2 linked regions of the Oryzias latipes genome follow. The protein of the gene in region 1 purifies or fractionates together with the protein of each later gene. This does not show direct contact. Links are inferred from orthologs where the notes say so. Each region holds a gene or a part of one and is shown in the gene's direction. Other genes may lie near its edges.

Region 1 (3,818 bases):
TGTCCAGGCTTGTCATTGGTCTGAGAAGGGAATACCCTTTAGTCAGCTGGACTTTGGTGTTGACTTGAAAAGGTTGTGGGTGAGTGAAGCCTCTCTGTCTGCCTTTTTCAGGTGGTAAAGTTGAAGGACGTCTTTCCTCACGGCACAGGCTTTGTCCTGGTCTTCAACTTCATGCTGTCAGATCTCTCTGAGGTGATCAGAAACCACCAGCGACATCTGACCCCAGCACAGGTCAAAGGCTACATGGTGATGTTGCTAAAGGGTGTGGCCTTTCTACACCAAAACAACATCATGCATCGGGTGAGTGCCTGTGTGTAGAAAACGTGGTAGTCAGGTTTTTCTCTTGGTAAAGGAAGGAGCCAAAATGTAGTGTATTTGCACATTTCCTTTTCTACTTAGTAGTTTTGCATGTTTCACCTTTCTTAATTTGTTTATTAGCGACCCCTGGGTGGAATACTAGATGAGCACTTTCTCACCTGCAGTTGGAATGAAGGAGAGGAGATCTTGGGGTGTTTATTTCTGTTGACCGCTGTTTCGTGCCACTTTGTTGCTATCGGGTTCTTTGCGGTCACCCTTTCTGGTCTGGTCTTGGTCAATCAGGTTCATTAACTCATACAAAGTCAACTTATTTTATCCCTTTGGTTTTTTTGTGTAAAAAAAATCAAAACAACAGAACTGACTGTGGCATATCAGGGGTTGACATAGCCCAGAAATTTGCACTGGCCCAGAGGGCCAGTAGTTTTTGAAAGTTACTGGCCCGACACCGCCCACAGCGAGACCCGCCGCTCCGCAGGTGCTTGCAACTTTTGGGGGGTCCGGGTGCATGCCCCCGGAAAATTTTAATATGGTGCAATTTGGTGCATTCTGGTGACATCTAGCACTTATTTATACACTTTTCAATGACTGAAAATAGACCATATCAAACTCAAATCTGCTCTAGTCTGTTTCAGATTTTTTGAAGAGAGCACTGCAGTGTAGTAGTTAACACTAGTTAAGAAGTTTTCATGCTGCCTCTAATCACTGCTATTTCACATTTGTTCCTAATCAATAGTTAAGAAGTTTTATTGACTTTTTTGCTCTGACTGCCTTAAGGTTCTGCTTTTTGTTACTGTTGCAAAGTTACATTTACTTTTTAGTTACTTTAGTTACCTAATTAAATTAAATAATTGAAAAATTAAATACAATTAAATTACTGAGATCATTCAGCTAACTAGAAATACTTACTGCTTACAGTGTTGTAAAGAAAAACAAAATTAAGTACTTTGACATTATACTCCGTTTGAGTCTGAGATTCAGGTATTTTGAGTTGCCTTTGATTCTTTGACATTCAGCTTAAAGCTTAGTGCATACAGTTTCATCTTCAATGCATTCATTAAATATCTTGCTGTCCATAGTACTAATTCCACCCGTCACTCCATCTAACATATTCCTATCTATTCCTGCCATGTCTTCCACATCTCTGACATGCTTCAGTGTCTCTTCAGTGACGGTGTTGGATTTATAATCATCGCGGTGAAAAACCACCAGGGGGCGCGCTGATATGTGTGTCAGTTTAAATATATCTGCCTAAAATGTAATAATAACCCACTGGCTTGTTCCTTCGTTGTTGCCGTTTAACATTGTTTAGTATTGAATTGTTACATTCAATAAAGTTTGAAAAAAAAATTGAGTGAGCGCGTGCCGCGTGGTGCTCGGCAGTGAAAGCCGCGCAAGCAGGCGGGAGAGGAGGAGAAGAGTGATAAAAGGTTTCCCATAGAAACCCTTGAAGTCTGAACACAGGACTAGCAGAAAAAGTGAATTATAAAGACGAGGTAAATCTACACGTTTTCGCAAAATATACTTTATTGAAAAAGGTGAAAAATGTATTAATTGTTAGATATTTTAGTGGCCCGAGTGGACAAGTAAAAAATAAAGTCTTGTGGTCCGCACTGCTCGAAAAACAGGACCGGGCCAGCGGACAAATGGCTATGTCGAGCCCTGCATATGTGTATGACAGAAGCACCCCAAACCCATCGGCTCCTCAGGAGGCTTCAACAGCAAAGTCACCTCAACAGAAGGGCTTTCCTTTTATAAAGAATGTGGGCAAACATTTGAAACTCTGCTGATGTCAGCTTAACTTCTCTGATCTGCAGGACTTGAAGCCAGCCAACCTCCTTATCAGTTCCTCTGGTCACCTGAAGATTGCAGACTTTGGTTTAGCCAGGCTCTTCAGCCATGAGGGAAGGCGGCTCTACAGCCACCAGGTGGCCACCAGGTAGAGCCAAGCAGTGCTCTGCATGAACCTGAAAGTGCTCAATGTTTTAGACAGGAGCTCTGATCCGTCTGTGTTTAGGTGGTATCGAGCTCCAGAGCTGCTGTATGGAGCACGCCGCTACGATCAGGGAGTGGACCTGTGGTAATATGACGCATTGTAACAGGATGTGTGTGTTTGTGTGTGCAGGTGCACATGTCTGCATTTGTGTACACAAATGTGACAAATGTGAGCAGACACTCATGTCCATCTGAGTGTGTGTGCAGGTGCATGTGTCAAGTCTGTGTGTGTGTCTGCACACATGCAAATGTCTTTGTGGTGTCCATGTGGTTTTGTGTGTGCAGCTTCTCATATGATGCAGGTGTGTATGGATGCACAGTTGCACATACTATCCTTGTGTTTTAGGGCGGTGGGCTGCATCTTTGGCGAGCTCTTGAACTCGTCTCCTCTGTTCCCAGGAGAGAATGACATCGAGCAGCTCTGCTGTGTCCTACGAGTCCTGGGAACACCAACGGTGGACAGTTGGCCGGTGAGATTATAGTGGACAACAGCATGGAAGTGTGTGCTGTTGTGCTCAATAGACCAACACTGCAGGGGTTGACATAGCCCAGAAATTTGCACTGGCCCACAGGGCCAGTAGTTTTTGAAACTTACTGGCCCTGCCTGAAAGTTACTGGCCCGACACCGCGCATAGCGGGACCCGCCGCTCCGCAGGTGCTTGCAACTTTAGGGGGGTCTGGGGGCATGCCCCCCCGGAAACTTTTAATATGGTGCAATTTGGTGCATTCTGGTGACATCACTTATTTCTACACTTTTCAATGACTGAAAATAGACCATATCAAACTTAAATCTGCTCTAGTCTGTTTCAGATGTTTTGAAGAGAGCACTGCAGTGTAGTAGGTAACACTAGTTCAGAAGTTTTCATGCTGCTTCTAACGGCAAATATCGCAATAAATCATAAACCTTAAATGTGTTAAAACAATCTAATGGCAGTGTCAGGGTCCGCTCGGCAGAGATTGAGCCACAGGACAAAAAGATCTTCAAATCAGGGGTTTTTATTTTACCCAACACAACACGACAGGGGCTCAAATTAAAATGGGGTCAACTTAACAAAAATGTAACTGAGCGAATCAATAACAAAAGCTCAAACCAACTGAACTCAAACTGACCCCCTTACAGGAAACATTAGGGAGATTTTATACTGGCTGATCAGACCAATGACACAATAGGGAGGGGAGCACAAATACAAAACATTCAAAACCTAAATATTAATTAAAGTAGTAAATTACTAGTAATTTAACGCTTCAACAGAAACTGAACTTGTACCTCAAAGCAAGCTTAACATATTCCAAAAAATACAAACAATAGTCCAACATAAGAATACACTTCGTCTTTCCCCTCCATCTTCTCCAAATGGAAGTTGTCCATGCTCCTCCCTTTCCAAGTCATCAGGAACTTCTTCAGCTCCTCCCACTGCCACATCATCAGGAAGTTTCCTGCTCCAGCCTCTGCCCCAGCATCAGGCCTCAAACAGAACTCAAAGAATAGAATTACTCAAAACAATACA
Region 2 (3,918 bases), on another chromosome or scaffold:
TGAAAAATAAATGTACATACTCTTTAATGTTAAATAACTCATTAGTTATTTATTATAACTTTTTAAAGTGACAATTACAGCGGCATAGAAAACATGTGTTTGCATGGTACTCTAGCATAAATCCTTTTACATTTGATTCTGACAGGTTAGGTTATATTGGCAGTGTTTAAGTCCTAATGGATAGTTGCCCAATCAGATATTTTCAGATTCCCCCAAGATATGAATAAATACAAACCAATTTGTATTTTTATTCTAAAAAACTAAAAACTTTTATGCTCTCGCGGCCCACAAAAAATGACATGGTAGGCCACATTTGCCCCCTGGGCCTTAAGTTTGACACATGTGGTCTAGAGTGAAGTAAAGAAATGTCTTTTGGGCTCATGACACCAAAAATACTTCCGAGTTCTTCCTTTGCTTAAAGTGAAAACTGCTAATAAGCAAAGTTTCCCGGACATTCTTGTTAAAAAATGTCCAATCGGCAGCACATCGGAGGCAGAAACAACACAGAGATCGTTTAAGCTTTAAAAGTAAAAATGTGTGAGGAAATCCAGGAAGAATCACTCACAGCTTTGATGACTAAACTTGCGTTTTCATCTTTCGCTATTCTTTGGTCACATTTGGATTTATGTGACACCAAAATCAGTTGAAATGTGTTTTATAGTTTACAGTCCAGAATGCAGCTGCTTCTTTTTCACAGGAACCAGAAAACATGAAGACATCAGAGATTTTACATTTCACCACCATCTGAAAGAATTTACAGGACTGACCAACAAGCAGTTCTCTGTTTTTCAAAGTAAAAGTTCTGTGCCAGCCACTGATTCTTTTACCACCCTTCAATCAGTGAAACACATTTATCAGTAAAACTCCTTTATTCATTTCAAATTTTTGTTTTTAACTAGTAACAATGTTTAAGTACATTATTTATTGTGTTTTTCTATCTTTGAAACTTATTTGGGCGAACTTGTCTGGTTCTTCGGTTCATCAAATGTTTAATAATGATTGGAACTGTGTGACATCAGGATCTAAAGCATAACAGATCTTTCTGCTCTAAAAGGTTCGCGTTTTCGTGGTGAAGGATGTTCTCCGTCGTTTCATGAGTGAGCACAGGGTGTTTTTTAATGGAACCATTAAGGGGGCTTTTAATCTGAAAGCAGAGAAAAGCTTCTTGAAACATTAAAGCGATGCAGAGTGCTGCTGCGCATGCGCGAGGATCTACCGCTGTGACGAAGTCAGCCTGAGTGTCCACTGTGGCCCTTCCCGTTGGCGCCGTGCGCTCTAGACTTTTCTATTCGCAGTCTAACTTCCTGCGTGAGCTTGAAGGATCGGGACGCGGCTGTTGGACCAAAACAAGGCTGGAGGTGAATGTTCGCGTTCTAATTTACAATTTTAAGAACTTTTCTGTGTGTGTTCCTTCGTTTGGAAGTGATTCTAATCGACGACTTCGTTTTGTCAAAATGTCAGTGTCACTAAAAACTCTTAGTTTGATGGATGCAAATAAGCTAAGCCGCTGGCTCATAGCTAGCTAACCCAGCCACCTTCAGCTAACGCTAGCATTAGCATGTAGGTTTTGACCGAGAAACCTCGTTACTTTTTAAAAACCCACGGAAACGTCAGGTTTTCTGAAGTTTGGAGTAAAACTGTCTGCATGCAATGTTGGGGAACTGTAACGGATATCCTGGTCGGTACGTTAACGTCAGATTCTGCTGTTTGAAGAGCTTTTCTGTGAAGCTCAGAGATAAGCGAACAGAAAACGAGCTTCCTCAGTTTGACTGTCTTCTCCAGAATGGAGACCGTGGAAGCTGCAGACGGCCGCGAAAACGCTTCTTCTTCTGCCAGAAAGAGCGGACAAACGTCGTTGCTGGACAGCGGAGAAGACTTCGAGGTTGTGGATGAAGAGGACTTTGATGAGGAGCCTCCTCCTTTAGAAGATGCGGGAGGTGGGATGGAGAAAAGTTCAGATGAGACGGCGAAGAGGTCTCCACATGAAGAACCAGAGGCTCCGGCTCAGCTGGATGAGTGGTTGGATGTGTTGGGTGAGTCTGGCACTTGTTTGGCCTCTTCCCGCTGATGTTTCTTGGAAGAGAGAACAGTTCTTCATTTGTCTTTTGAATCTGACAGGTTCTGGAAGTAGTTGTGAGTTCCAAACAAGCATTTGGTGGTAGTTCTTGACAAGCCAACAGTTCTCTCTCTGCAGGAAATGGCCAGCTGAAGAAAAAAGTCACGGCGCCCGGGAAGGGACGAGCCAGTCGGCCTCAGAAGGGTCAGAACGTACGGATCCACCTTAAAGCTAGCCTGATCGATGGGACTCTGGTGGAGGAGCAACCTAACTTCTCCTTCACTTTGGGAGATTGTGATGTTATCCAGGTAAACCCTTAGTGGTGATATATGTCAGGGTTAGCCCCAACGCTCAAAATTACGTCTGCAGGTCTTGTTTTGTGGATTTGTCTCCGGTCAAACGTCAGTCAACACTTTTCTTCCAGGCTCTGGATCTGACGGTCCAGCTTATGGAAATGGGAGAAAAGGCTCTGATCCAGTCAGATCCTAAATATGCATATGGAGACAGAGGAAGGTGGGAGATAAGCTACTCTACATCAAACGCTGCAAATTGGTGATATAGAGAATTTTAACCATCCTTTAGAAAGATGGTAGCAGAGCCCAGAGTCTGAGGAGCCTCCAAATGAAATACTTTTTATTTTACTCACAGGTGGTTTAGTAAGTGGGAGGGGCTTTTTGACACACGTGGTCAAAAAAGTCTTGACATGTCTCACATTTACATAAACTTGGGTCAATAAGACCTTAAAAAGCAAACATTTGTCTTTAATTCAAGAGAATCTGTGTCTTTTCCTGACATGGGGGTAAAGGAAAGGAATCACTGGGAAATAAACTGTATGGATCCCTGGAGATTCACAGAAACAGACTGACTATGCCATCCTTTTTTTTTTGTTGGGGGGGGGGGGCGCTGCTGTTTTTGCTTCAGTCACTAAACCTGCCTGTTTTTTTTTTTCTCGTGTCAGTCTTGAACCTCGTGTTCCTCCAAACGCTCAGCTGTCCTTGGAAGTGGAACTCCTGGAGGCCACTGATGCCCCCGATGTGGAGCTGCTGCCCCCCGCAGAAAAGATTGCCCTCGCCAGTCGTAAACGAGAGAGGGGCAACGTCCATTACCAGCGTGGAGACTATGCGTTTGCAGTCAACTCCTACAGCATCGCCCTGCAGATAGCAGAGTCCAGTTCCAAAGGTGAGACCTTCATGACGCCGTCCCGCTTTCCCGGCAATGAAAGCTCCTCCCCCTGATCATCTTGCGGTGACTGATCAGTAACTGCAACTTTAAACCAAACAATGACGTGAAAATCAAAGCCCTGCAGATGTGAATGAGTCTTCAGTGGATCTTTTTAGCTTTTTTGCTCTGATCTTAGATTGAGATTTATTTCAAACATGTGAAGCAATACAAAATAATAATAATAATACATATAAAAAGAAGGAAGTTTGATATTGTCGTTGTGTTTTGTGGGACAGTGGACATCCGGCCGGAGGAGGAGGACGAGCTGCTGGATGTGAGAGTGAAGTGTCTGAACAACATGGCCGCCTCTCAGCTGAAGCTGGACCATTACGATGCTGCTCTGAAGTCTTGCGTTTCAGCTCTTGAGCATCAGCCAGACAACATAAAGGCACTTTTTCGCATGGGCAAGGTTGGCCTCAGTCCCGGAGCTTCTTGCTGCTGCTGAATGTCTGCTAAATGGTTGTTCTTTCCTCTAGGTTCTCTCTTTGAAAGGTGAATACACAGAAGCTATTCAGACCCTGAGGAAAGCACTGAAGCTGGATCCCAGCAACAAGGTCATTGAACTGTTTTCTCTTGGCAGATTGTCATTTTTACATTTGGCCAGTAGGTGGTGCCACAACCTAGACTATGGGTTGCAGCAG

The links.
Region 2: the proteins of cdk20 (region 1) and fkbp8 purify together in Homo sapiens (affinity purification with mass spectrometry; 5 studies listed by BioGRID and IntAct, with this or other methods). This does not show direct contact. The link is inferred for Oryzias latipes from reciprocal best matches to the Homo sapiens genes CDK20 and FKBP8.

The regions. Positions count from the first base shown.
Region 1 is NC_019865.2:33,771,787-33,775,604, forward strand, and holds part of cdk20 (cyclin-dependent kinase 20), read left to right. Parts: intron 1-111; coding exon 112-300; intron 301-2,132; coding exon 2,133-2,254; intron 2,255-2,332; coding exon 2,333-2,395; intron 2,396-2,656; coding exon 2,657-2,780; intron 2,781-3,818. UniProt on the Homo sapiens protein: Required for high-level Shh responses in the developing neural tube.
Region 2 is NC_019862.2:8,042,348-8,046,265, reverse strand, and holds the start of fkbp8 (peptidyl-prolyl cis-trans isomerase FKBP8), read left to right. Parts: upstream 1-1,213; 5' UTR 1,214-1,650; coding exon 1,651-1,682; intron 1,683-1,782; coding exon 1,783-2,033; intron 2,034-2,194; coding exon 2,195-2,364; intron 2,365-2,480; coding exon 2,481-2,569; intron 2,570-3,014; coding exon 3,015-3,235; intron 3,236-3,513; coding exon 3,514-3,686; intron 3,687-3,753; coding exon 3,754-3,831; intron 3,832-3,918. UniProt on the Homo sapiens protein: Constitutively inactive PPiase, which becomes active when bound to calmodulin and calcium. Seems to act as a chaperone for BCL2, targets it to the mitochondria and modulates its phosphorylation state.